4 linked regions of the Alligator mississippiensis genome follow. The protein of the gene in region 4 purifies or fractionates together with the protein of the main gene of each other region. This does not show direct contact. Links are inferred from orthologs where the notes say so. Each region holds a gene or a part of one and is shown on either strand. Other genes may lie near its edges. The genes, in order: SP1, SMARCC1, KAT2B and SMAD2.

Evidence for each region.
Region 1: the proteins of SMAD2 (region 4) and SP1 purify together in Homo sapiens (affinity purification with western blotting; 3 studies listed by BioGRID). This does not show direct contact. The link is inferred for Alligator mississippiensis from reciprocal best matches to the Homo sapiens genes SMAD2 and SP1.
Region 2: the proteins of SMAD2 (region 4) and SMARCC1 purify together in Homo sapiens (affinity purification with mass spectrometry; 3 studies listed by BioGRID, with this or other methods). This does not show direct contact. The link is inferred for Alligator mississippiensis from reciprocal best matches to the Homo sapiens genes SMAD2 and SMARCC1.
Region 3: the proteins of SMAD2 (region 4) and KAT2B purify together in Homo sapiens (affinity purification with western blotting, with the first as the bait; 3 studies listed by BioGRID). This does not show direct contact. The link is inferred for Alligator mississippiensis from reciprocal best matches to the Homo sapiens genes SMAD2 and KAT2B.

Annotation. Positions count from the first base shown.
Region 1 is NC_081838.1:8,792,639-8,800,613, forward strand, and holds the start of SP1 (transcription factor Sp1), read right to left. Parts: upstream 3,008-7,975; 5' UTR 2,872-3,007; coding exon 2,865-2,871; intron 1,062-2,864; coding exon 958-1,061; intron 114-957; coding exon 1-113. UniProt on the Homo sapiens protein: Transcription factor that can activate or repress transcription in response to physiological and pathological stimuli.
Region 2 is NC_081828.1:217,674,088-217,680,954, forward strand, and holds the start of SMARCC1 (SWI/SNF complex subunit SMARCC1), read right to left. Parts: upstream 3,009-6,867; 5' UTR 2,994-3,008; coding exon 2,760-2,993; intron 1-2,759. UniProt on the Homo sapiens protein: Involved in transcriptional activation and repression of select genes by chromatin remodeling (alteration of DNA-nucleosome topology).
Region 3 is NC_081828.1:150,497,911-150,504,933, forward strand, and holds the start of KAT2B (histone acetyltransferase KAT2B), read right to left. Parts: upstream 3,010-7,023; 5' UTR 2,907-3,009; coding exon 2,676-2,906; intron 1-2,675. UniProt on the Homo sapiens protein: Functions as a histone acetyltransferase (HAT) to promote transcriptional activation. Has significant histone acetyltransferase activity with core histones (H3 and H4), and also with nucleosome core particles.
Region 4 is NC_081826.1:290,363,601-290,370,546, reverse strand, and holds the start of SMAD2 (mothers against decapentaplegic homolog 2), read right to left. Parts: upstream 3,008-6,946; 5' UTR 2,918-3,007; intron 1-2,917. UniProt on the Homo sapiens protein: Receptor-regulated SMAD (R-SMAD) that is an intracellular signal transducer and transcriptional modulator activated by TGF-beta (transforming growth factor) and activin type 1 receptor kinases.

The sequences.
Region 1 (7,975 bases), on a different chromosome or scaffold from region 4:
TCCAGCTCGCCCGAGCCGCCTTGCTGGCTCTGGGAGCTGTTTGAGTTCTCATTGGGAGACTCAATCCTACTGCATGTGGCTGCCAGCAGAGCCAAGGGAGAAGGCTGGGATTCCTGACAAGCAGAGAAAGGAGGAGTTAATTCGCCAGAACTCGCCTAGTGGGCAGTGCGCATGAGAGCAAACAGGGAGGAGCTGCCGCCCACAAGATAAACACTCCTCAGTAACAAACACCCACCCACAGCCGGAAAGCACCCCAAGCAGACATGGGCCTGACAGGGCTTAGGGGTTTCTGAAAATAAAGTGTGGCTTTAAAACTATCTCTGCAGCTCAGCCCAAAGCAAGGGGGTTTCCCCTCTATGAACTGATATGTCCTAAGAGGAAGTGCTGCTGCTTCTAGACACCCATCTGAGTGCGTCCTCGATTATAAAGATGTGTTTAAAGCAGCAGCTGTGCTAAGTATTTCTGGAAGACCAAGGGTGCCGGATATGACCCTGGCGAGGCAGCCACTGCTCTTTGTAGGCTGTGTTCATACTGGAGGCACCAGAATGCTGTCCAGAACTGCTTTAGGCAATGTCTGTTGGGCATTTATATTCTTCTTTCCTCTCCCTGGGGTGAGAAGTGTGTGCAGTGGAGAGCTTGTTCAGGGATTTATTTAAGACTGTACATACAGGCTTACACACAGTAGCTCTAGTGTGTGTTAGAGAAGGGAGGTCAAGGAAGCAACCGGCAGCCCCAAACTTAAACCTCCTCTCTCTCAATGAGATTCCTAAGCTTGGCCGTCAGAGAGGTACTGGTCATGATGCTACCATAAGAAGTCCCAGGACTCAAATCAAACATTTCTGTGGGTTCACAGGGCATATTAGTACTTCAACAGGGCCCCTAAACAAGAGCAAAACATGGAGCTAGCCCCATTTGGACAGCTGTCCACTCCCCAACACATACCCATGCGCTGCTCACCTGACCCTCCCCATTGCCTTCACTGATGCTGTTGCTGCTGCTGTCACCACCTCCTTCTATTTTCTCAGACTTCACCACAGCCACTTCTTCGGGGCTCTCTTGGTCTGCAGAGCAGGGGGGAGAAAGGAGGTCAAGTGATAAGCAAAGCAAGAAAATGTTCACCAAAAAGAGAATGATGAGAGAGGCTGAACAGAGTGACACAGTGGGGGAAAGGAGATGTATCTTTGGTACATATTGGGAATGTGGGGGCGAACCCACAAAGAAACTTGTATACTCCCCACCCCCATTATTAGAAAGGGTCACTATGTGTGCTCCAACAGATTCTGGGGGACAAGTGAAAACAGGGTGGGTGGGAGTGCAGATCAAAGGTTAATGAATGACTGCTTCAAGGGGGGACACTGAGCACAGCACATCGCCCAGCACCTGCTGGCTGACCCATCAACAAGTCCAAGGAGGGGAAAGCAGACATAAAGGAGAAGGAAGAGCAGCAAGAGGGAAGGGTGGGAACGCAGAGTGGGTGGACAACACGGTAGGACCTGCCAAGGGCCAACTCCTTCCATTTTTGGGTACTTCAGGGCCACAAGAAGGGAAATGGGAAGATAAAGGGGGGGGGGGCGCTGGGACAATGGAGAGACTGTGGGAAAAGGGAGCTGAGGCTGGAGGGTGGCACAGAGGCCAGAGGGAGGACCGAGCTCCACTCCCCAACCCTCCTGTCAGTCCCTGCCTCCCCACCCAGCCCTACTCCACCACCCGCCTCAGGCCTCCTTCACTCCCACCCCACAGGAAATCCCTTTGCCCAGCAGCAATTCCAGCCTGTTCCCTTGGGACCTTGCCCAGGAGACTTCACCCTCCTCCCCCTCTTCCCTGGCACCTCCCTCGGCCCTGCCCTCAGATCTGGGTGGGGGTCAACCCCTCCCTGCCTCCCCCCAGCTCCCAGGGCAAGTGGGAGAGAAGAGCCCTTAGAGCTGCCCTCCCCCAACCCAGGGATCCTAGGGCCTTTGCCTCCCCCCACCTCAGAGCCCCCAGCACCCCCCCCATTACAGGGATCCCAGGCCCTTCCCCCATATTTGCCTTCTCTCTCATGGCCCCCCCCCTCAGGGATACCCCCATGACATCTGCTCCCCCATCCTCTCCCTTCAGGGATCCCAAGCCTTCCTCATGACACTTGCACCCCCCCCCAAATCATGGCCCTCAGCTCCCCCCTCACCGCCCTGTCAGAGCCCTCAGCCCCCCCCATATCCGTCCTCCTCATGACCCTCAGCCCCAGCCCCCTTACAAGGACCCCAGCCCCTTCCCCCATGATATTTGGCCCCTCCTCAGCGCCCCCCACCCCCCTGTCAGAGCCCCCAGCCCCTTCCCCCATGATATTTGCCCCCCCATCAGGAACCGCAGCCCCCTCCCCTCCCCTCAGGGATCCCAGGGTCTTCCCCCATATTTGCACCCCTCCTCATGACCCTCAGCCCGCGCCCACCCCGCTGTCAGAGCCCCCAGCCCCGTTACAGAGACCCCAGACCCTTCCCCTACGACATCTGGCCCCCTCCTCAGCCCCCCCACCCCTCTGTCAGAGCCTCCAGTCCCTTCCCCCGTAATATTTGCCCTCCCCCGCATCAAGGACCGCAGCCCCCTCCCCTCAGGGATCCCCGGGACTTTCCCCATGACGTTTCCCGCCCCCCCGCAAGGATCCCGGGCCTTCCCCCATATTTCCCCCCCTGCCGGGGGTCCCGGGCCTCCCCGCAGCGCCCCGCTCCACGAGGCCGCCCGCCGGCCCCTCCCCCGGGCCCTCCCCCGCCCGCAGCCCCCTCCCCCGGGGCCCTCCCCTCGGCGCGGGCGGCCGGGCCGGGCCGGGGCGGGGCGGGGCGGGGCAGGGCTGGGCCCCCTCCCCCGGGCCGGGGTGGTCCGGTCCGTACCGCTCATGGTGGCCGCGGGGGGGCGAGTCCAAGTCGCTGCCGGGGGAGGGGCGGAGGCCGGCGCGGTGACGAGGCAGCCTAACCCCGCCGGTGACCGCCAAAGGGCTGGCGAGGGAGGGAGCGGCGCGACGCGGCCCCGGCCCCGGGCCACGCCCCGCAGCCCGGCCGTGCCCAATCAGGAGCCGCGGAGCGGTAGCGGGGGCGGGACGCGCGGCGAGTGGCAAGCCGGCCCTCGAATGAGGAAGCGGGCGGAGCCTAGGAGGGAGGGGGAGAAGCCCGCCCGAATCCCCGGCCCTGAGATACGCCCCTTTGAACGGCTCCGCCCAATGAGGGAGGGGGGAAGGAGGGAGTGACGGAGGCGGCGGCCAATAGGAAGCCCGCGCAGCTCCCCCGGCGGGGGTGGGATGAGGGGGTGAGGCCCAAGGGTGAGTGACGTGATGGGCGGCCAATCGGCAGGCACGAGGGCTCCCAGGGAGACCCCGTAAGGGCGAGGCTGGGGGAAGCGTGGAAGGAGGCAGTGATTGACAGGCAGAACGACGAATCGCAGTTTAGGCGGGCTCCTAAGACAGCGCCTCGCGAGGAGGGGCGGGACGAAAATCAGATCGACGTCCAGCCTCCCCAATCAGTTGTCAAGCAGGCCCACGCCCGTTGACGTAAGGCAGGTCGGATTGGAGCTCGGCGTGCACAACGACCAATCAGAAGCCAGGCGACTGGTGAGGCTGCGGATCCCCGACCAATGGGAGAGGCGAGCCCCCTCAAACCGGCCAATGGGACGCGCGAGGAGGCGGGAGGCCTAGGCGGTGGATTACACGCTGGGAGGAGAGGCGGTGGGGAATGTGGCGGAGCGGCGCCATTTTAGCTCAGTCCCCGCCCACGCCCTTGAGGAGGTGCCTGCGACCCCCTCGTGCGCCCAAGCACCGCACGCGCGCACCGCCCTGCCACCACGTGTCGCCCAGCGGGGCCTGTCGCCACGTGGCCTCCCTCGGGCCAGGCCCTGCTCCCTGAAACCTGCGGAGACCCTGGACGAGGCCTCCTGCCGGATAGCTGAAGCCTTGGAAAATAAATCTAAATCTAAACTATCGCTAGAGATCATCATAATGTTTAAACGACCATTTTCGGGGCCCCTTTCGGTTCGCTCACGCCAGCGTCTGGCCCTAGGAACGGGTCAGCCCGCACCGCTGGCGTGCGGCACCCTGATGATTATTGCAATGGGTGGGTGCAAAACACATGCGGGGCTGGACTTTTGGAGGCGTTCGGAGCCGGGGTTTTGTGAGGACCCGACACGTCTCGTTGCGGCGGAGCCGGGAGCAGAACGATCCTGGCGGGGATGGAAAGTAAAATCCACCCCCCACCCCCCCGCCGCCCCATGCTGTTGATTTTGGAGACTGCTGGAGATCGAAAGGGCAGGGGTCAGAACTGCACTCGGATCTATCCCCCTCGGTCCCGGGCGTCCTTACGAGCAACGCCCAGTTGCCCTTTCTTTTCTCTCGCAGCAGCTGGAAAATTGTGCCGTCACCCAACACAACCGCCCTTTGCCTCCGACAGACCCGCTTCATTTTTTTCTCCTCGTTCCCCACTGCGTCCTGGCTGGCAGGTTTGGAGAGCTTTCATTGTGAAAACAACCGCCGTGGGTTTGTCAAGCAGGATTCCCTCCGAGCAAAACGCTCCAAGAGTGTTGTTATTGAGAGGGCTGCCGTATCAAAGAGCCCCCTCCCCCGTGGAGGAGAAGGCCCCTCTAGGGCTAGATACTTGCACAGACCCAAAGCAAAACCACATGCTCTTTGCCCGGAAAAGTCTGCAATCAACATGTGAGATCAGAGACATCAGGTGGCTGCCAGGAGCAGCTGGGCCGAAGGGGGAGTTACGGGAACTGCAGTTTCAGCCTGCCAGCTGCCTTCTGCTCCAGGTTTGGGAGCACCTGGGCAGAGGGAGGGATTAGGAGAAGGATGGGGGAGCCATCCTGGCTTTTCCAGGAAGCTCCTCCCATGCTTAACAGGAGGACACAAGGCTTGTTCAAGAGCGGAGTCAGGCCTGGATGGGAGCTCGCAGGTCAGCTTGTTTAGCCCCCTGCGTGTGTACTGGATGCGCTTGCGTAGCCTGCCCCAGACTCTCGCCCTCCCACGTCTCCTCCTAAAAAGTCCCTCTCGCATGTCTTGAGTTCAGCAGCACAGCACGTGCCTCCCCCTCCAGAGCCTCCGCATTTCAGAGGGAGTGTTGGTTCAAATCTGGCATCTGAGCCGCTCTCCACCCTGGGCTGGTGGGTGCGGCACGGATTCTGCTTTGGGGAAGGGAAGAAACATTTCAACCACGCTCTTTCCCACCGCCGCAAAGAGATGCTGCCTGCCTGACTGCCACTGCTTTCCAAATAAGAGCTCAGGGTGTTGACAGCATCCCCAGCCCCAAACCACCCCCAGCCAACACTGATGGCCCGCGGCACCAGGGACACAGCTGGAGCATCTGGAAGTCCTACTCTGGAACTCCTCCAAAGTCCTTGACTTTTGGAGCCGACCACCATGAGGCTGACTAGCTGGACAGCAAATCCAGCATCGTTCTGGATAACATCCTTCAAACCAGCTGTGTCCTGGGCGGCCTGACTGCCTTCCATAACATCCTCTGTTATTAGCATGATAGATAATTAGTGCCGAGAAAAGGAGGGCAGCAGTCAACCGGGTAGGAGGGGAAGTCACGAGGCAGCAGCCTCTTCCCAGCCTCGTGGCATGGCTTGGGGAGCTCATGGCACGTCTGCGCCTCAGTTTCCCCCATCTGTGGAACGGGAAAGTCACCTGGGTCTTGCCTGCTGCAGGCACCATAGCTAACAGTGAGGAGGGGGAAGTCCTGGCCCATCACTGACGTGGCACCTCACTCCTCTTTTGCCCTCCTGATCATGCCTCGTGCCCTCCCTGACTGACCAGCTCTGCCTGCAAAGGTCTGTGCCATAGACATGACCAACACCCACCCTCCTACACAGATATGGACCAGTCAGTGATGGGGACAGGGTGGCCTGGATCCTATTCCCAGGTGATCTCGGACAAGTCCTTGCCTCAGTTTACCTGTCTGAGAAGGGGGGCAATGCCGCTGACCCCTTCTGCACAGCACTGTGGCTGTCAAGCCTGGCGGGGAGGGGGTTCTATTTTTATAGCTGATCTGCAGCATCATCCCCATTAGCAAATGCAGCGCAGGGGCAGAGACTGGCAGGTTCCCTCCCCCACCCCTGGGAGGGAGCCACCTGCCTCCCCAGGCTTAGAAAATCCAGCCTGTCCCTTTAAATCCCAGCGCAATGGGTTGCCACAAAGGCAGACAACAAAGCCATGTGGAGCCAGTCCATCCCCTCCTTCCTGGGCCGGCCCCTGGGCTGGGCTGGGCTGGAGGATGGGCCAGCTGGGCTCTTTGATAGGCAGGAGCCAGCACTGGTGCCATTCACCGGGCTTTGCTACTCTGGGTTGACCTCAGCAGGGCCCTCCTCCTCCTCCTCTGCAACAGAAGGGAAACTGAGGCACAGAGAGGGTCAGCAGCTCCCTACCTCGCCTCCCCTGGAGCTGAGAAAACACAGGAGTCCTCACTCTCAGTCTCCCCCCACAGTAGGATCCAGGCCACCCTGTCCCCATCACTGACTGGTCCATGTCTGTGCAGGAGGGTGGGTGCCAGGGGGTCATGTCTATGCCCGCGACCCCCGCCACTGATCCAGCGGCCCTTCCCAGCGCTGAGAGGTGAACCCGGGAGTCCTGAATCCCAGGCACTAACCACTAGCCCACCCTCCCTCCAAGCTGATCTGCAGCCTGCCCTGCTGCTGGTCGATGGCAGAGCCCTGCAGCCTGTGAATGAGCCAGGAGCTGTTCAAAGAGGGCCCTGGCTGGGGTGAGCTGGCTGCTGGCAGCTGCTGGGCCCTGGCCAGCCAAGCCAGGCAGGGAGGGGGGGAGCCCCAGCCTTCCTGCAGCCTTATCTGCTTCTGCAGCCTATGGGTGTGGAGCCCTCGCCCTCAGCTAACCCTTCCTCCCTTCTAGGCCCCCCCACAGGCTCCCTCCCTGCCCCTGCTCCAGCCCCCCCCACCCCCCAATGCTCTGCTAGAGAGAATCAGAGCCAGAGGCAACAAGCCAGATCCCGAGGAGAGGAGTGAGGAGGGGGCAAAGGTTGCTTTAAACAAGGCAGGGACAGAGCCAGGAAGAGAACCCAGGAGTCCTGATGTCTGCTTCCCCCACGCCACCAATAAATATTAGACCCTCCCATGGTAGAACTGGGAACAAAACCCGGGAGTTCGAGTATTCAGTGTCCCCACCCCATAAATGAGATGGCACCCCCCATCCCAGAGCTGGGAATACAATCCAGGAGTCCTATCCCCTGCTGGCTGCCGCCTGCCAGTGCTTCCACCGGGACAGGCTCCCTCTGCCCTATGCCGGAGGTGCCACAGGGGGTTGGAGGAGTGGCATGGGGTTGGATCAGGCCCATAGCTCTCCTCCCCACCCCCTCGCCTAGCATACCGGATCCAGCACCTGCCCCCACCTGCCTGGGACCTATGCTGCTCATGGGGGTCCCAGACTGGCTGGAGCAGGCAGTAGTCCCAGAGCTGCCGGGGCGGGCGCCATGTATGGCACGTGACCTGGATCTTGCCTGTGGCCCTGTGTGGGTCACTCAGACCTGCAGCACTGGGGGCTGGATGCCAGGGCTCCACAGGCTGTATCTTGCCCCCAGGCTGTCCATTTGCAATCCACCCTTCTTCATAGGCCTCCATGGGCACTTGTGCATGTCCATTTGATGCCCCTGCCATACTTGTATGCAGTGCCTGTCGGCAGCCCTGCAGACTCCCCAGCACAGAGGCAGCAAGCTCCTGCCTCTGATCGCGCCCGTGTGACCCAATGTAGCCCCTGTGTCCCTTCCCTGATCAGTCTGTAGGATGCACCAGGTCCTCGGCCCCTCTGCTGAGCTGCTCCCAGACCCCCAGCACTGGGCTGAGACTGCATGGCTCATTCCCTGCAAGCACCCCTCGGGCAGGAGCAGCCATAGGAAACAAGTGACACGGCAGCCACCACAGTGGAGCTGCAAGGACACGTGCATACCCACTCTGGCCACCAGCAGCACCAGCAGGGCACCCAGAAAGGCAGCAAGCACCTGGGGGG
Region 2 (6,867 bases), on a different chromosome or scaffold from region 4:
CTAGAGGCACTTTAACAGAAAAAAATTAGTTATGTAAACAAAACTGCAACAATTTACTCAAATAGAGCCCTGAGGATATGACCACAAAATAAAGGAGAATCTAATTACTCCATATTTAATCTCATTTGAATGCCAGTTTCTAAGTAACATGGTATTTTATCACACATCTTTTCCAAAAAAAAGGCATGTTGGATACAGCATCTCAGTACAGATCGCATAAAGATTTAGAACCTCAACTAGAATGGGCAGACAGCAATAGGACTAGACCTCCGACACACACAGACAGCCCCCCATACACGTGAAACAGAGTCATGCTCCCTTGCAATTAAAAATGGAGGATTCTTTACTAGTCTCAAATGCACGGCAGAAATCTAAGACACATCAAAAAGATGTTTACACGCAGATCATGAATAAAACAGGGTTGTTTTTGCTCCTAACATTTTGTTCGTAATTTGGTATCTCCACAGGCCACACTTGGCAAGCAGACGTGAGCTATTCCATTGAGAAGCCTACGGTATCTTTGTTGTGTCCCCTGAAGATAGTGAAACATTCTGCCACTAACAGTAAGACTAAGGTTGAAGTGTTAGACTAACTTGTTGTAAATAACTACCTTTAGTAACTTTTTTTGTCAAGTTTATTTAAGGAAGGAAACTTTTCCACCTAAAATGAGGAAACAAGAATTTTGAAGTCAATGCATACATTCATTCCTTTTCTGGCGAAAAGAGATGCAGATTTTTAGGACTTCTCCCAAATCCTACATTATTATCCTTTCCACTATATAGGGCTTTCAAAATTCACTTGCCCAAACCAAGATCTTCTCCAAATAAATCCTATTAAGACATAGGAGGAAAGAAAAACATGAAGCATGTTCATTATCAATCTTCCCAGCGGGAACAGAGTATAACCAAGCACTGCTGCCTTCAGCCTGCAGAACAATGGATGGAGGGCCTCCCCTGCGAGGAGAATGAGAACCGAGGAGCGCTGCTGGTTTCCACAGCTGCAATCCAGCATCCTGTGGGTGGCAGTGAATTAGCAAGAGCTGCATTAGTCAGTGAAGCTTGGGAAAAGCTTGACAGCAAGGGGGCAGGCACAAATGCTCTTAATTGGGAAAGAAAAAAAAAACTCATCCCTTTAAAGGCATTAGCTTGAGGGGCTGGGGTGGCTAGGAGGGAAAACACACCTCTCCTCCTACTCCAGATGATGCTCCTCTCAAGCGTACCTGAGCCTCCAGGTGGTAATTAGTGAGACATCAGGCAGAAGACAAGATAGAGATGTACCTAGAGACTAACTCACCAAGTGTCAAGAAATATTTCGAAACTCCACGTGCAACTTGAGGCAAGGGATGATGGAAAACCTGATGGGACATGTAGTTAACGCATGGAATTCATTGCCACAGCAGGTGGTAGAAGCGGACAACACAGCCAGGTTCAAAAAAGGGACTAGGCAAACTCATGGAAGACAGATCTATTAATAGTTGCTGAACCGAAGGGTTGACGATATTTCCCCCAGCATCTCCAACCCGATAACAGTGGATCCAGGGAGGGTAGTGAATAGGGGATACGTCACTCTAGAGATATCTGGTTCAACGCTTTCCCTCTGGCATCCATTTCTCCCATTGTTGGAGACAGGCCTCTCTGATGTGCCAGGGGGGATTGCAGCCCACAGCCCACCAAGGAAACTATATTATAACAACGGAGACCACTAAAGACATCAGAGGGTTTCTTCGGACAAATCGTAAGGAAACAGGAAAGGCAGCGAAGTTGCAGGTTAATCACAAGAGAGGCAGAAAGGGACACCAAGCAGAGCACACCACTGCCCCTGAATGAGCCTGCGGACTTTGACCAGCGAAACTGCCCAGAGACGTGAGCGGAGGAGTAAAAGGAAGACAGCCCCACGCTCACCCAGGCTCCCCTGGCCACAGCCTCCTCCCTGTCTAGCACATGGCGGGACCCAGATCAACCAAAAACTCCCAGGACTTGGTGAGGGACACAAGGAAGGAGCACATAAAAGAAAAGATGTGGGAAGAACAGCAACCAGAGGCTGTGAAACTCCCTGCCACCAGCTGTGGCGGAAACTGACCGCTTAGCCAGATACAGAAAGGGACTGGACACGTTCTCGGAGGAAAGGGACACCCGTCGCTATTGAGCGGCGGAGCGAGGGGCACGGCCTCCGAATCGAACATCCTACGCCTGTAAGTGCTGGAGGCCGCGAGCGGGAGAGCAACAGCGGAAACAACCCCCGGTCACTCTCCCTGCCCGCATCCGCTCCGCCGTGGCGCGACACCGGCCTTCGATATCCCAGTCTGGAACGTGGGCCAAAGTCCACCACGTCCAGCTATGAGCCCTGCCTGGCGAGGGGGCCCCCCGAGGGCACGTCGCCGATTGCTTGGCACAACTAAGAGACAAAAGTCAGGGGAAACACTGAGCAGAGCAAGTCACACGGCATCCACTCGCCCTCGGACACGTCCCCGCGGCACGCGCGGGCCGGGGGCAAGCCCGGCCCCATCGCCGCTGCACGACTCGAGGGGTCCAAGGGACAGGGCACCGCGGGACCTCACCCAGGAAGGAGGCTGCGTTTTCCTGTCCCTCGTGTGCTCGCATCTCTGGGCCGTTTCACCACCGGCTCCTCGGCCTCGCTCCCACCCCCGTCTTCCTCGCTATTGTCACCCTAATCCCGCGACGAGCACGCAGCGACCCCCCACATCACGGGAGGGCTTGCAGCTGTCCTCAGGCCGACCCCGCGCGCCCCTCAGCCCGCACCTTCTTGTAGTGCTTGCCGAGCCAGACGCGCGCCGAGTCCAGCTGCGACACGGTGTCGGGGCTCTCCCAGAACTTGCCCGTGGGGCCGCCGTCCTTGCGCCGCGCCACGGCCAGGGCCGCCCAGCCCGGCGCCGCTGCCGCCGCCCCGGCGCCCGCCGCCACCGCCGCCATTGCTGCCCCGGCCGAGCGCCGCCCGCGCGGGCCTGCGCCGCCCACTCGCCTCACGCCGCGCATGCGTGGAGCCGCGCACGCCACGCCCCGCCCCTCTGGGCATGCTCGGCCACCCGCGCCCGCTGCCGCCGCCGCAGCCGCCGCGCCGGTGCCTGCCTGCGTCACCGCCGCGCAGGCGCACGGCGCCCGACGCTTCTGCGCATGCCTGGCGGCAGAGCCGACCCGCTTTTTTTTTTTTTTTCCCTTGACGGGTTTATTTTACTATTTTTTTATTATTATTATTATTATTATTGGCTCTGCGCATGGGGAGTGTAGGCGCGAAGTCTAGTCGCGGAAGTGGGGGGTGCTGAGCATATGGGCGCGAAGCATAGTTGCGCATGCGTGGGAACGGGTAGGGGGAGCGTGTAAGTGGGCATGCGTGGAGTCCTGGGTAGTGTTGACTATGTGGGCGCGAAGCTTAGCTATAGCTACGCATGCGTGGAAACTGGGGTGAGGGGAGAGTAGGTGCGCATGCGTGGATAGCTGAGTAGGCGCGAAGCTTAGCTATAGCTGCGCATGCGTGGATGCCGGGTAGGGGATCATGTGGGCGAGCGTGCGTGGAAGCGGGGTGGTTGAATGGGCCCGAAGGCTAGTTATAGCTGTGCGTGCGTCGATGAGGGAGGGGAAGTGTGGGCGCCTGGGTGGCTTGAGTATGTGGGCGCAAAGCTTAGCCATAGCTGCGCATGCGTTGAAGCCCGGTAGCTAGGACATGCGTAGCAGCCTTAGTAAGTTGAGAGTGTCGGCGCGAAGCCTTGTCACAACTGCGCATGCGTGGAAGCCGGGTAGTGGGACCATGTGGGCGCGAGGCTCAGTCATAGCTGCGTATGCGTGGAAAGCGGCGTAGGGGAGCATATGGGTGCGCATGCGTGAATTCCTGGGTAGGCTGAATAAGCGCGGTTAGCCATAGCTGCGCATGCGCAGAAGCCGGGTTAGGGTTGCATGTCGGTGCGCGTGCGTGGAAGCCGCGGTAGGGGAGCACGTGGGTGAACTCATAGTTGCGCATGCGTGGGAGCCAGGGTTGGGGAACACGTGTGTTTGCTGTGATGCGGGTTAGGGGCGGCTCTTGCCCATTTTATTGGGGCAGGGCCTGCTCCGTGGGGGTCTAGGCTGGGGAGAAGGCATCGGCACATATGCAAAGCACCTATTTTTTGCAGTTAAAAAGAAACTAGAAGCTTTCCTGATAGGCGGGGAGGGGCTGGGTGAACCAGTATGGGATTGAAGCAAAACCAGCTCTCGCTTCATTGCACTGAGTTGTAGCCAGTCAGTCAGTCTGCAGGGCTGTGAAATGGGAGCGTCCCACCAGGAGGCAGAGCAGAGAGTAGCTTGCCTGGCGGCAGGTGAAGACCATTACAAGGAAGGGAGGGTCATTAACACCTGTGGAAAGAGGAGTTTAGAAGGGATCAGGTAGATCACAACGAGTCACAGTCAACTGACTCCTTCGGCACTGCCTGACTGGCCATACTGCTGTCACGCTGCCAGGCAGCTGGTTTTCAACTTTGGGAGGAGCAGGACTCCGAGCGGGGTGCAAGTGCACCAGTGCACCCACCCCTGGATCCACCCCTGGCCTGCTCCAGCTGCCGCCCCTCCAAGCACGAGTCAGCCAGGGCTGGATGCGAACGGAGGTGCCTGGGCTGTGCTGGCTACGGGGTCGGCGGGCAGCGTGGTCTCGCGTGTGCATCTGCTGTGATGGGCAGGGGGATCCAAAAGCCACAGTCTCTTCAAGCATCCCCTGCATTTGGCCCCAAGGGCACCTGAGTCATGAGCTCGGTGTCACGAGGATGAGGATACTGCAGGCAACGTTCAGCCTAGCAATTCACCACCAGGGTGCTATGGGGGTGCAACAGGATCCTTTCAGGGGTATACACAGCATAAGATACTGCTGAGGTGTGCAAATGTGGTTCACAAGAGAATCCCAGAGATTGCAAACAGAAACCCATGGTTGTGGTCTTGCTGAGTTCTTTGCAACAGAAGAATTGCTCTATTACTCTTCAGTAGCCAAATAAAAGGCATCATCTCTGAACCAAGAGCTCTAGATTTTTGCATTTCTTTGTCCCAGATCAACACGACTACCAAATACATCCCTAAAAGTCAGAGCTGGCACTTTCCAAGCAGTTCCCTGAGTCTACCCAGAGGATTTCCAGTCTAAGAAAGTTGAGGAGCACTGGTGCAGTCCCTCCCAGCTGCCCCAGGACCCCCCTCTCTGAGCAAAATACCCCTAAGGGCCGTTTCCAGCCACCTCCAAACTTCCTGCTCTTTGCTCGGTCACCCCAGCTCCCAGCCTTCATCCTGCCCTTGGCCGGCCACCCTGCAGAATGAAGACACCTGGTTGCATCTTTGTCTCTGGACCGGATCCCTGCTGGGAATCTCTCTCCCATCCTTCCATGTTTAAGCTGCCAGCCGTTTCATAGTAGGATTGGACCAGTTCCTGGAGGAAAGGCCCATCAGCAGGTGTTGTGGTCTGAGCCAGTTCTTAAGATCAAGGTTACTCCCTCCTCTGTCTCGGAGCTCTCCAAGGCGAGTGCTACATGAATTTGGATTCCACCCAGAGGCTCTTGCCTGTGGGTTTACAGTTTGTCTTCTCCTCAGTTTTTGCACATGAAATACAAAAAATACATCAAAAGCTTGCCGTCACAGCTAAGGTCAGGAGATGACAGAATTAAACAATGGAGCTTTAACGCTGTGTCCCTGCAAGGCTGTATGATGACACGCTGTTCTTTTCACGGTGCACAGCCCGGACGGTGCTTGCTGCATGTGCAGCTCTGCCATATTTTGTTCTCTCCTTGTTGCTTGGGGCGTGAGCCCCATGCCTTAGTTACACACCATAGTGAGCACTCCAGAGAAAGAAGCTGATCTGCTCTTGGGCTTTCATTGGAGGGCAAGTACAGGCAAAGGTCCATGGTTTGAATTCTCCCAACACTTCTGCAAGGGGAGGGAACAGCATCATCCCCTCTGTCTTGTTGAGGAGCTGAGGTGCAGACCTGAAGATCAAAACTTTCAACCTCTCTTGGATGCCTAAGCAGACACACCCAGGACCTGAGATTTTAGAGTGATCAGCCCCTTCCAGGGGTGTTCAGCTTCCAGCCCATTGGCCAGATCTTGCCTGCAAGGCCATGTCATCGAGCCCAAGAGTCTTCCCACAGATCCAGAGATTTGGTGATGGGGGAGCAGTCCCCCGCTGCCAAATTTCCAGACCCGTGGCATGGGGAGTCCTGCATCCAGGTGACATGGCTCTACAAGCTAGATAGTGCTAGTACATGGAGCCACACACGTACATGTAGTTCTCAGCTGCATCTGGGGGGTCAGGCCACACAGCGCTAATAAATGACACGGGTATTTGCTAACAGCAAAAGGATTGTGAAACTGAATCCAGACAAGACACGGGATGCTGGTGAGCAGGCCATGTGACCTAGGGGTACTGGGGTACCTGCCATGGATGGGGTTCAGCCTCCCCTTGTCACTCAAGTTTGCAGCCTTGAGGTGCTCCCGGATCTTGTGCTGCACCTGGATCTTCAGGTGGTGGGGGTCACTAGGAACAGCTGCAGCCCTTTCTTTCAGAGTCTGATCTGGCCACCACCATCCAGGCCTTTGCAGCTCAAGGCTAGACCACCACAATGTGCTCTACGCAGGGCTGCCCTTGAGAAGGGTCATCAGAAGCACATAACTCCAGTGCTCCAGGGTCTGCACTAGCTCCCAGGAGCTTTTTGCACGCAATTCAAGGGAAGTGTTGGAATTCACTTATAATGCCCTAAACATCCTGAGACCTATACCCCTAAGGTAGCACCTTCTCTATGCCTCACTGCAGTCCCAAAGGTCAAGAGCAACCTCCTGCGTGTACCAGCCATGCACCAAGTCCCTTGGGCAAAAACACATTGCTCTCAGCAGTTGCTCCTCAGCTCTG
Region 3 (7,023 bases), on a different chromosome or scaffold from region 4:
GTTTCTCTTCAGATTCACCTCCATATATCTAGACTATTTTTCTAGTGAAAATAGCTTACAAGAACAGAGTTCTCATGAGAGCAACTGAGTTAATGACCCTCAATGAATGGCATATCTACTCATAAAAAAAAGTATAGCAAAGGCAACGGCAATATCCACAATACCTGGCCACAGTAACAGATCTAGAGTGGCTAAACACAACTAGAGGAACAGATCTAAATCATGACTAGGTTAGAGACTCACATTAGAAACTAACTGAATCAGAGGAGCATAAGCTTCCCTGAGCCCAAACTCAATTACTAGGCATAACCTCAAAGCACTGAGCCTCAAGAGGATGCCATGTGCAGTGGTGGTGTTTTGTGATGCTACCCACTTGCTCTCCACTGGGAATCAAACTAAGAATATTCTATGTTCAAATTGTGCCTGCTGGCTAGGAAGGACTTTAAAAAAATTAAAGGAAAGTTTCTGTCTCTGTGCCTATGTTAGGAGCCACTGCTTAGAATCATAGAGAATTAGAGTTGGAACAGACATCAGGAGGCCATCTAGTCCAACCCCCTGCTCAAAGCAGGACCATCCCCAGCTAGATCATCCCAGCCACAGCTTTGTCTAGTCAAGTCTTAAAAACCTCCATGGATAGAGATTGCACCACCTCTCTGGGTAACCTGTTTCAGTGCTTCACCACCTTGCTAGTGAGAAATTTTTTCCTAATATCCAATGTAAACTTCCCTTGCTGCAACTTGAGACTGTTGCTCCTTGTTCTGTCATCAGCTACCATTGATAACAATCTAGCTCAGGGGTCAGCAATGTTTTTGGACAAAGTGCCAAAAATATTGGCATCCTCAGCTTGTAAGATGTTGGCATGCCAGAGGAAGATGGCAGGGGAGCCATGAGGGGCCTGATCCGCCGGCACAGCCCTGACTCCTTCCCTGCCATTTGTCCTGAGATGCACACACCAAGCAAAATGCACTCTGGCACCCGTGCTGGGGGTTGCTTACCCCCGATCTAGCTCCATCCTCTCTGAAACCTCCCTTCAGGGAATTGAAGACTGCTATTAAATCCCCCCTCCATCTTCTCTTCTTCAGACTAAATACAGGCAGTCCTAGACTTACAACATTTCAAGTTACAAGGTTTTGCACTTACAAGGTTTATAAATTGACACCCTGTTTCAACTTTCTGGCCTCAGTTTAGACTTTACAATGCTTGATCCAACATGATGCCACGCCAGTGAACAAGTTCGCTACGTTGCCCATCTCCCTGGAGAGCATCTGTCCAAACTTCCTTGGACACTTTCTTTAAAAAAGCAGACAAAACTCCACAAAAACCTGTAGAGAAGACTCCAGCCAAGAACCCTTCAAAAAGCCCAACCAAGAGCCCTTCAAAAAGTTGAGCAAAGTTGCCGCAAAGAAGTCCTTCCAAACCAGTATGATTGCTATTTACCATATAAATACATGAATGTAGCTATATTACTCATCTATAATTGAGTACAAAATTCTGGGTTATTTTTGGTGAAAATTGGGTATCCAGCCTTGGTTCAGAAACCAATCCCCCATTTATAACATTGTTGCCTATGGGAAAAATTGGTACAGACTTACAACATTTGGACTTAAGATGAGGGTTTCAGGAAGCAATTGCGTCATAAGTCCAGGGTCTGCCTGTAAGCCCAGTTCCGTCTGCCTCTCTTCCTAAATCATGCTCCCCGCCCTGCTAACCATTTTCCTTTGCCCTCCCGAATTTATCCACAACCTCTCTGTAGCGGAGGGCCCCAAACCGGCTGCAGACGTGGCTTCACCAGTGTCAACCAGAGGAGGACAATCACTTCCCTCCATCCACTGACCCCGCTCCTATTCATACAGCTTTCTTTTTTTTTTTTTAAGAAATTTTTTGTGTTCCAACCCAAATCAGCCAAATCCATGAGTCAGTCCAGAAACATAAGTGGCCCTAGAACCAGCAAACATCCTCCACCCCCAACCACGACCTTCAGATATTTCCATCGTTTTTTGGCAGGCATCCTGTGTGCAGGCCCAAACCAGGAGGCTTGGGGTTCAGAAGCCCCCAAGTTTCACCTACCCTCAGGCATAGGAGCAAGCTAGGGTGGAGCCTCCCATTTCCATAAAATGGGCATTAAGCCCCAGCACCTCGGTGGGTACTAAGCAGCGCTGGAAGAACAGTTATCCCCAGGAAGGCTTAAGGAAAACTGCCTTCGTGAACCAAGACATGTGGTGTTTTCCCTGCCTCGGCAATCAATGAGAACACCTACAGGATATAAAACACTGCGATCGTCCAGCAATGCCACTAGCCTTCTTCTTCACGGGGGTACACGGCTGCCGCCTAGGCAGCTCCTCGCCCACCTTCCCCGGGAGCTGGGCGAGCTCCTGCCCCAGCTCAGGTCCCCCCGGCCGGGAGCGCCGCCCCGTCAGCTGTCCGCCTGTCACAACAAAGGCGCTGCTGCCCGGAAAGGCAGAGCAGGGCCCAGCGGGGGCGCCGCTGCACAGCTCGCAGCCCGGCTCTCCCCTCCCCCGTCCCCGCAGGAACGGGCAGAGACGTGCAGTGCAGTGCGGGGCGGGGCGGAGCTCCCCCGCCACCGCCGCCTCACCCCGCGGCCCGGCCCGGCCCGGCCCGGCCTCCCGGGGCGAGTGCCCCACAAGCGGCGGCGGCGGCGGCGGGGTGGGGGGTACCTTGCAGGCGGAGTAGACGCCCAGCTTCTCCAGCTTCTTGGCGCGGGGCGCGGAGCGCAGCTGCGCCTTCTTGCCGGCGATGCGGGCCGAGCCGGCGCCCCCGCCGCCCCCGGGGCTCTCGGCGGCGGCAGCAGCCCGGGCCGCGCCGCCCGCGGGCAGTCCCCCGGCGGCGGGGGAGCCCTGCTGCGGGCCCGCGCCCGCCGCCGGCCCGGCCCCGCCAGCCTCGGCCATGCCGCCGCCTCGGGCGGGCGGGCGCGGCGCGCCCAGCGCTTGGACCCTCCCCTTCTTCCCAGCGCCGCCGCCGCCGGCTGCTCCCCGGGAGGGAGGAGGGAGGGGACTGGCCGCACCTCGGCGGCACCTCCCGAGCCGGGAGCAGGCGGCGGCCGGGGACAGGGCGCCCCGGTGCCAGGGGGAGGGACTGACGAGGCCTGTGTCCCGGCCCCTCGCCGCAGCCCAGCCCCGCGCGGCCCGGCCCGGCTCCCGCACCTGGTGCCGCCCGCCACCGCCACCCCCCCAAGTCCCCTCGTGCGTGACGGCGCCGCGCTCCCCCTCCGTCTGCGGGCAGCCCCGCGCCTCCTTCCTGAGGGGAGACTTCACACCCCTCGGGGGAAAGGCAGCAAAATGGCTTAGGAGGTGTGTGTGTGTGTGTGTGCGTGCGTGCCCCCCACACGGCCAACCAGTCTGTGTAATCCGGAGGAGAGGAGACGGGGGATTTCATAGCAGCCTTCGGTTCCCTGGCGGGGGTTACGGAGAGGCCGGAGTTGGCCTGTTCTCGGGGAGGGGGCAGAAGATGGAACAAGGAGCAATAATTTCAAGTTGCGGCAAGGGACGTTTAGGCAGGGTCTTGGCATAGGCAACTTCTGTGGGGGGACACGTGCAGCCCCTGAGCTTGGCCGCTGCTAGTTTCTGCGGGGGGCGGGGGTTGCTGCTCACCACCCTGCCACCAACGCTGCTGCCCACACATTGTGCCCCCCCAGTCTCGGGAGGCACCAATCATTCATGGGTTTTGGCAAACACTTTCTCAGAGGAGTGTGGGTGACTGGTGGCACCTTGGGGGGGCATGTGACCCACCAGCAACCAGTCAGTAACTGGGGCAGTCCCCCACAGCCAATCTCACTGACCGGGGGGGGCCCCATAGGTGCTCGCACGGACCGGGAAGCAGCGGCAACACTCCCAGAAGTGGCTGTGGCCCTTCATCCAGCACTCCTGTTCCCAGGCCAATACTCACAGCCCTCCTGCCTGCCCCCTCACCCCCATCGCCTAAGCAGGGAGCACAGCCTGTCAGGGGGTGCACCAGCGCTCTCCCCCATGCACCCCCTATACGTCACCAGTGCAGAGGAGGGTAGTAAGACACTGGAACAGGTGACCCCAGAGAGGTGGTGGAAGCTCCATCCTTAGAGGTTTTTAAGACCTGGGTACACAGAGCCTTGGCTGGGGCACATTTACATGTGCAATTAACTCCAGCACACATCCTGCCAGAGTTTATTGCTCCTGGGCCCAGGACAGCAGCATATTGAGCTGGGTGGGAGCAGCCCCAGTTGGCAGGGAGCTGTGGGGGTGGTCAGCTTGCCAGCCAGAAGCTGCTTCAGCCCAGCTCAACCTGCTCTCAAGGGACTGGCTGAGGCACAAGGGTGCTGCACGGTTAGTTTATTCCTGCCTAGTAGCACTGCACATGTAGACACTGAGACATTTACTGTGGAGCTAACTAGGCAGCTCCGCAGTAAAGTCTCGTGTAGACACACTCGGTGGTTTCTACTTCTGAATTAATATTACCACACCTGAGATAAGTGCTGAAGCTAGCGCTGAATACAGTTCTGCTGGGCTATGAAACAGAAGAGAGACATTACCAGGAATGGCTAAAAGAAAGCAAAATTGCAGAAGAAAGGATAGTTTGAATCGTGAAATATGACAATTATTGAAGAGGATAGCTTGTTATATTAACACCTGTGGAGTGGGTAGAATTCAGCAGGACTCAGGGAGATGATAATAAGCCATGAAGTCCCCTCCCTGCTGCCCAGGTAATTGGTTTTAAAGTTTGGGAGCAGCAGGAATCAAAGTGGGGGTCTAACTGCACTACTGCAACCCCCTGGATCTGCCCCTGTCAACAAGCATGGTAAATTCAGGACATTCAGAAATAAGGGTAACTTGAAAAGGAATTTGGGCATGGCAACATACAATTAAAGCACTTGAGCACCTTAACTTTACCATCTGACATTATCAAGCAACAGCTATATAATTACTATTAGCATAAGATTATAGTCCTGGGTTATAAAACTGCTCTTAAACACACATCAGTTTTGTTTTCCCCTCATGGCCTCACTCTAGGGCATAGTCAAGAATGCTTGAGGGCAGAGTCAAGGTTGCTTAGTTGCCCTAACTCTGCATTTTCATACTGGATAGCATTTGGATTTTTTTTTTTTTTCTGAATACTGATTTTTCAGAGGAAAGAGGATTTAAAATGCTGCTAAGGCAAGAAATACTAGTGAGTTTTAATCATGTGGCAAGTCTGAAGAGTATGTATTGAGATCATTCCTGACAACAAACAAGTGTGACTCCAGGTGCTACATTTTTAAAAGGACACATTTGAAAATTAATTGTAACTCAAAGTAATTAATACATGTTCTGAGAATTTAAAAGTAAATCTATTTTTGGCCCAAATAGCAAATGCTTTAATATTGGGGAGAATGGGCTGAATTCTTTGTACATAACTAAGTGATTGTCTCCCATTGTTAAGCGCAAAACAATCCTAAGAAGAATCACAGGATCATAGGAAATTAGGGCTGGAAGAGACATCATGAGGTCATAGTGGCCAGTTCCAAAGTCCCCAGGTCAGCAGTGGCTCTCAAAGCCTGGTGAGTCCCAGTAAACAGATGGGGAGGTAGGAGGCATTAAGCTTTGGGGGTCACAGCTGAATCATGAGACTTCAGGGACTGGGATCCTTGGACTGAAAAGAAACCTGGAATCTGTGAGAGTCCTAGTTCAAGCCAGGGGTCTCAGAAATGCCAGTCTCCCTGCTGCAGAGCCAGCAGCCAAAGCCAGCACCCAGCATTGTCCTTGTTCCTACCACTATTAACAAAGAAAGCCCAGTCTTCCTGAGAGAGCTGCCCCATAGCTGTGGGCCTCCTGGGTGAGCTGGCAGGAAAGCAAAGTTCCTGTGTTTTGTCAGAAGTTTATTGAAACATTCACTTTCATATAAACATTTCAGCTTTTCCAATCAGCACTTTTCAACACACATCTGTGTCACTGAAAAATTCCTGGCCAGTGTTAGCAGTTGGAGTTGATACAGTATTTTCAGGCAAAAATGTTACATTCAAGCTGACAGTGACCCTTTAAGATGGCTGCTAACGTCCCATATTTTTTAAGATAGGCTGTTAAGGTGGACTGGTCATTCAAACCCAAGCCTCGCAGAACTTTAAAAGAGAGCAATGGTGAGAGGTATAGTGCCAACAGAGATAGTCTGCACAAACTTTAAGGGCATTTTAAATTTAAAAAATGACTCCCTTTGAACACAACTTAAATCAGAGGAATTTTTATTTCTTTAAATAAGAACATGCAATAATTGATGAAGAGTAAAGTTTTTAAAACAATGATTACCTTACCTACTCTGTCTACTCTACATGTGAGATTGTGAATAAAAAAATGCAATGGCATGGTTATTGTTTTTGCTATTTACTTTTATTTTCCTTTCAATCAGTTAAAATATATTAATCTATTTCACTTTCATTTTCCCTGCCTGTGGAAGTAGTCTTGCTGACTTCAATAGGCCCTGTGATGCACAAAAGTTAAGCCCATGTGCAAATACTTGTAGGATCAAGGCCTAAGCACATACCTTCTTCTGGAGCTTTTTCTAAGTCCTATTTGTCTAGAGGAGTTTTATTTCTATTAAAAATAAAACCAAGTATGTAAAGCATGAGGCAGACACTGCCTTTTATTAAAATACCCATACCCTTTAAGCATTGTTTATATTTTATATGCGGCCTTGTTCATGTTAATTTTGTTAAGGGGAAATGAGTTCTGTTTTGAAATCTAAGTACATATATTAAGACAATAGTTATTACAAATTGAAAGAGCACTTTTACTGCACTTCCTTCTTATATCCTCAAGAGCATGATTGTCTTTCAGCACCCATATCTTTTTACCGTATTGCTTAATAGATAATGAGAACAATAAATCACCACCAGTGGCTAGGGATACCGTTTCTATAGTAACTTTTGTAAACACCAGTTTCATTATATATGCAGAACTAAAGCTTAGTATTACTGAGGAATAGCTCCAGAAGCTGTGCTAGGTAAGCTGTAATTTTTTTTCATTATAGAACAGAACAAGTGTAGTAGTATAGCCATTATCT
Region 4 (6,946 bases):
AGCGGTTTGTTAATATTTCAAGGCATGACAGTTTCCTATAACTGCCCCTCATGTATGGAAAAAATTGTGTGCACTCCATTTAGGTGGAAGTCTGATTACTTAAACGTATCATGTTCCTGTGCAAGTTTGCTACAGAAAAAAAAAAATATTTAACAGATACCAACTTCTGTTTGATCCACATCACTTGTCAGCTTTTTCTTCACTCCAAGCGCTCTACATTAAGCAAGAGGGCTGTGGATTTCACAACTAGCACACAGGGTTAAGTCCCACTTCAAGAAGGCCCAATACAAACAGATGACTGACTGATTCTTCATATGGGTCAACCAAAAACCCTTCCAACAAGATAAAGCAACAGAATTGTACAAATCAAGGTTTCTGTACTAACATAAAAGGTCCTGAAGCAACTGAGTCTTTAATCATCTGGGAGATGTTTCCTTGTCTGATCTAAACTAATAGTTCCAGTCTCAGCTGCTTGAAAATTAAGAAGCCACTTCCCTCCATATCCCCTCATTACTTCAGAGTACCTTACCCATAACAAAACATACCAGAAGAAGTGTAATCTTAGCCTTTATAGAGCAGTCTCCAGGGACGCTTCACAAAGCCTGCTGGAAGTCGAAAACAGAGTTCAGAAAGACTGCCTGCACTCACTCATTTCTTCTAGCCCAGATAGTACTGAACGCAGGACTGCCTGTACACTCTGTTCTACTACAAAAACTAATCCCATCCCATGACCTGCAGCAATGCAGTTTAACAAATCAACAATTACAAATATTTTGGCAAAGTAAGCTTAGGTATTGTTTGCCTCTCAGCACAGTTCACAAGCAGTTTGCGGCTTTATGATAAAAGTCATTAAATCCAATTTGAAAAGCAGAATTTACAGCTCACTTAGCAAGTCAGGCCCATAAATGGATGCTTTCAATTACAGTGCTTACATGTGCAGCCCATTAAGAGTGTTAAAATACATCTAAAAAAGATGGAAAATATTTTTAATCTCAAACTTCAGCAGGTGCTGAGCTCTGCAGACAGAACTTGGGAATCCTCTTTGCCCTTTCAGGGAGCTCGAGCTTGTTGCCCTCTAGGACACTTGCCAGGAAGGGATAAGAGAAATGCACAGAAGTTGTGTTTTTAAGCTGCGTTCAGTAAGTGAGCATCTGCAGCATTATTAAGTTCAGTGGGAATGACTTGTAGTCAGCTCTTTTGGGCAAAAAGAAAAAATAAATCAAAAATCAAATTGAAGAGAAAGAAGGAAGAACTAGGAAGACCTTGGTCTGGAGATTTAGTGTGTAATCCACAATTACTTAATTTGTTCATGAAGTCAGAACTTGGGAGAGGAGACTGATTTAAATGTTTAAAAAAAAACAACAACCCCAATTTATAAATGCCAGAGTTTAAATGTCAGATTACGATCAAAAACCTCAGTAGAGATTACTACTCCTACTTCAGTTTCAGTGCACCATAGAAAGTACCCACACATGGGGGTGTTTCTTTCAAGAAATCGCTGTTCAGAAATTCAGCTGTTATTCCTTGTGATGGGTACTGCTCTGTATGGACACTCAGAAAGGAAATCCAGTTAGTGACAATGGTATAAGCTACACCTTCTAACACACTGCCAGATATCAGTTTTGACTCATTCCTACTTGAGCTTTGGGAACACCAAATAAAACCATCTTTAAGATACTTGTGAGGACTCTCATCCTCCCTGTCAGGTTGGGTCAGGCGTTTCTAAGGGAGGTTTTGAGGCAGGAGGTGAACAACAGATGAAGCAAAAGTTTGCCTCCAAGCCTCTTGCTTGCAATAGATGCGGTGTCAGTCTCAGAGAGGATTAAAGAAACATCACACACTAACTTGCCACCCTCAACTCTAAGAAGGCAATCCACACCCCAGGGGAAGCAAAAGTTAAACCATCAGCCAGCCAATTATGAAAATCACCAAGCTTCTGCTCCTCTCCTCTCCCTGCGAGGAGAAGCAAGAACCCACAGGACACCTTACTCTGGTCATCTCACAACAGAAGTCGGCCAGTTCTTCACTCTCCTTTTTAAACGACCCCGACAGGCCGCAGCCGTCCCCGATCAGCTCCTCACCGACTCCCTCAGCCGCAAAGTCAGTGGGGGCACGACATCGAGCAGCAAACCCAGAGCACACTACTGCCGAGCCACCGTTCATTAAGTTTCCCACCCTTGACCGCACCACGGTCAAGGGACCACACCACGGCCGGCCCGCCAGGAAAGCCGGCTGCTCCAAAACGAGCCCCGGTTCCACGTTCGGGACACGCAACAGCCAACCCCGTCCTCCTTGGCAGGCAGGTCCCCAATGTGACACAGCCCCTGCTCCACCCTCCCGCCCCACAGGGATGGTTGGCACCCGCGCCTCCATCCCGGACACCCAGGACGAGGACAGCGCCCGGCTCAGCTTCGCTCCTGGACCGCCACGAGCCCCCAACTCTCTCTCTCGCTCCCCAGCTGGTCCGAGGAAACCCACCGCATCTCGCCTCACCTCGGCCTCTCGCGTGCCAGCGCATCCCCCCACGCCTGACACAGCGGGGGGGAGGGGTGGTGTGTGTGTGTATATATATATATATATATATATATGTGTGTGTGTGTGTGTGTGTACATGTGTGTATATATACACACACACATTTTATATATATGTGTGATTCATACAGAGCACCCCCCCCCCCACTGCGGGGGGGCGGTGCAGCCCCTCCCCCCGAGAGGGGTCGGCGCTGGGACCCGGGGGGGGGGGGGGGCAGGCGGGCGCTCGCACGCGCGAGTGACGCGGCCCCGCGGGGGGAGGGGGCGGGGCCGCGCCCCTCAGCAGGGAGGAGCGGGGGGGTCGGAGCGAGGCCCGCAGACGCCCCCCACCGCGCGGCCCAGTCCGGTCCGCCGCCCCACCCCGGCCGCCGCCGCCCGACACCGACCTGCGCCTCCGCCAGCGGCGCCGCTCCCGCCTCCCTCCCTCCAGCTCGCTCGGTCGCTGGCTTCCTCCTGGCACCCGCCCCCTCGGCCGCCATTGGCCGCCACAGGACCCGTGGCGCCCGGAGCCGGGCGGCCGATTGGCTGCGCCGCCGGTCCGTTGCGAAACAGCGCGAGCCGCGATTGGCCGAGGGGCGCTAGGCGGGGCCTCCCCCGAGCAGGGGGATTGGCGGACCCGGTGGCCAATGGGCGCGAGGGATGAGAGGCCGCTTCCCAACCTCCTCCCGGTGGGGGCAGGCGCGAGGGCGGGGAGCGGCGTACGCTGATTGGCGGGCGCGGGTGTCTCTCCCCGCGCGCCCGTTGGGTGGGGGTGGTTGCGCCGGCCGGGACGCGGGGTGGGGGAGGGGAGAGTTTGCTGGTAGTTTGGTTGTCGCGCAGGCACGCAGCCGCACCGGGGCCGGGGGCCGCGATCCCTCCGCTGCCGCCGGCACGTATCCCTCCGCGCCGCTCCGCGCCGCGCCGTGACGGGGACAAAGCAGCGCCCCCCCTCCGCCAAGGAGGGGTTAAGTGGAGGCGAAGCTCCCTCCCCTTTGGCCAATAGGGGGCTCCCCCTCCCCCTTGGCCAATGAGGCGTTAAGTTGGGCCCCTGTCCTCAGCCAATGAGGGGTTAAGTGGAGGTAAAGCCCCCTCCCCCTTGGCCAATGAGGGGTTAAGTGGAGGTAAAGCCCCCTCCCCCTTGGCCAATGAGGGGTTAAGTGGGCCCCTGCCCTCAGCCAATGAGGGGTTAAGTGGGGGCAAATCCCCCTCTCCTCCACCAATGAGGGGTTAAGTGAGGGTGAAGTCCCCTCTCCTCAGCCAATGAGGGGTTGAGTGGGGGTGAAGCCCCCTCACCTCCACCAATGAGGGGTGAAGTGGGGCTGCAAGAGAGGTCTCGCGGTCATCGAAGCCAAGCGGCTGCCCAAGGCAGGATCATCCCTGTCCAAACCACCGCATAAAATCCAGAGTGTAAACGCTTCATACCGCTGCTATTGATCGGCAACTCGGTGTTTTTTAATGGAGTTCAAACCAGCCTGCCGGGCTGTGAAACAGGAGCGCCGTTACCGGGAGCAGGCAGCAGAATTGCAGAAGAAAGGTTGGCTCGATTAGCAGAAGGTGAAGACCACGGGAGAGGGGGTCTGTAACGCCTGCGAAAGGAAGAGTTGAGAAGGACTCGGAATATAATAAACTTTGAAGCCATAGACAAGCTGCAGCCATTGCCAGGCAGTTGGTTTTAAGCTTTGGGTGGAACAGGAATCAAGAGCGGGATGTGACTGTAGCACTGCACCCCCTGGACCTGCCCTGGAGTCGGGGCAAAGCGGTCTCCTTAATAAAGGGTTACGTGGAGGTGAAGCTACCTCTCCCCCTTGGCCAATCAGGGGTTAAATGGAGCTGCCTTTGGCTAGGAAAAAGTTAAGAGGGGGGGCAAAGCCATCTCTTCCCTTGCGGGGAGACGGATGTAGGGCAGTTAACATCTGGGGCCCCTCTGGATCAGCCCCTGCCTGCCATCAGGGCCCGGTATAAACACCCCTACAGAGCTGTGGGAAAGCCTCCGCAGCCCTCCCAGCTGTTCTCGCCCAGTCTTCCTAGGGCCTGATATAGGCAGGGAGCACGAGGTTGCCCCCGTCCCCCAACCCCGCTTCAATAAAAGTCATAGTAAGCATAACTGGATCCTCTGGAGAGCCACGTCCCTGTCCCGCCCCCTTCAGATCCTGTTAAAATGCATTAGATCCATTAGATGGGAAGCATTTCTAATCCCTGCTGAGCTGGGCAGGCTTCACGCCCAGCTTTCTACCCTATGTTCAGCAGTAAAGCCTAAAAAAGCAGAGCGAGCCAACATCGCACGCTGTCCAGGCTTCATTCTCCAGTTCACCCCTACAGCTCTCTCAAGTCCTTCGAAAGCCTCAGCTCTTGAAAGGCCAGCCTCAAGGCATAAACCATGAGCAAATCAGCTCCATGACAGTTGTGTATAATGACACCGTTGTGTTCAGTTTGCTACAAATGAGAGCACATGCGTGAAAACCTGAGCGTGCTCCAAGCTACATCAAGTGAGGAATGGATGAAGTATCCCTTTGCAGCATAGTGGGACTTTGGGAGGAGCATGCCTGAAAGTCTCCAGGTTTATTGTCCATGATTCGACTACAAAAAAAATCCCCAGATTGACCTGGCATCCTCTTTTTAAAAGGAACAGTGCCATTTTCAAACTGAAGAGCGTAGCCTGGATGCATTCTGACCTCATCAACTTAACGTGCTATATCCATTCACTGGATTACAAGGCCACTTCTAGCTTCCCATGGCTGTGTGCGCGCTTCACTTCAAGCCTTCATCTGTATAGTGAGCAAATTTTGCCATGGCAGGCACAGCACCCAAGGGCTGAGATGGACCATCCCATCGCATGACACTTAACTGACCTGTGCAGGCTGTTCCACCCAAAGATGAGGCTATCTAGGTGCCAAGAGCTTTTGCTTGGTCTCAAGTCATTGCCAGTCTGCGGACCTCCAGTTCTTGATGTGGGAAGCAAACTGAGATTGGGACTGTGCTGCAGGCACAGGACCACCAGCAGTGGTGGGAGAACTTCAGGATGCAGAAGACCGCTGTGCTGCAATTATATGCAGAGCCGACTCCAGAACTGCAGAGGCCATTCTCCCTGAGGTCTACGGAGAAATATGTGGCAAGCACTGTCTGGAAGCTATGAACCCCTGTCAACTGGTGCTGATCCATGAAGAACCAATTTGGTGGGGGCAGATCTGCTATTGGTGCTGCTGTGTATAAGTGCACTGCCACAAAAGGCCCCCAAAAACACTCTTCCTGCATGTTTGAGGTGTGCTAATCTCAGATTATCAACAGCTTTGAACCCATGATCTTGCACAGAAGTGATTGACAGAAAACATATTCCTATTTTTTGCTTCCCCACCAGGCCTTAAGAGTTTATCTGTAGGATGCAATGGGTCATGCTTAACAGCCTGGTCAACCATCACTGGAGATTTATCCATGTTGAAGCAGAACATCATGGCAACAGTGAACAACACTAGACTTTTCAATAGCCCCTCACTTACACTGATGAAGAAAAGGAGATTTGCTAGAATTTCTGGCAGCACAGAGATCAACAGCGTCACTGAAATGCAGTGACTGCCTAACCTGCTCCTGAGAACAACAGCTCAGCATGCCCTCAGGCAGCAGAAGGCCAGGTGGCACCTGCTGTACTCGGTTGGCATCAGGCTAGAGGCAGCTAGCCAGTACCTGCTGTGTCCTGCCCAGCATCTGCAGGAATAAGGATGAGGGGCTGCACAAGGGTTGGACAGCTGAGGCCAGAGGCTGGTTTAGTCTTTCCTCAGGTCCTGAAAATGTGGATCTGTTGTGTGGGGCCCCCTTAAATTACCTGTAGTGCAAATGGACTTGGCCAATCTGCCACACACACATACAGAGCAACAGTGTGGGGATCTTGTTCCTGGGCTGACATATGTATTTGCTGGAAGAAATGAACCATAAAGCTTTGAAACCACCACAAAGAAGAAAGGCACAGCTAAGCAGAGATACCTGGACTGTAGAGTTCAGCAAGTGCAACAGGGATCAGACATGGACAGGTAGGGAAAACAAACTCTACACAAATGCAGGAAAATCTACTAATGCAAGCTTCATGGGCCCAGGAGCTCTTCAGTCTTTGTGCTGGGCCAAGCTCCAATGTGAAGAGAATCTGCTGTTCCCTGGGTTTGTCTACACATGCATATGCTGCTAGATGGGTGTACTCCAGAGTAATTTACTCTAAGGCCAGGAGGTCCCTGCTTCTAGGCACCCCACCTGGGCTCCACTAGTAGAGTCTGCCCTGGCAGCCAGCAGCTCCCAGAGGCAGGGAGCAATCTCCTGCCTCCTGCTGCCTGGGAGCAAATTTGCTCCTGGTCAACCATCTACATGTGCCTTACTCTGCAGAAATTACTCATCAGTTAATCTGCTATTTGCATTTGCAAGTAGCAAATTAACTGCTGAGTAGAGCAAATTAC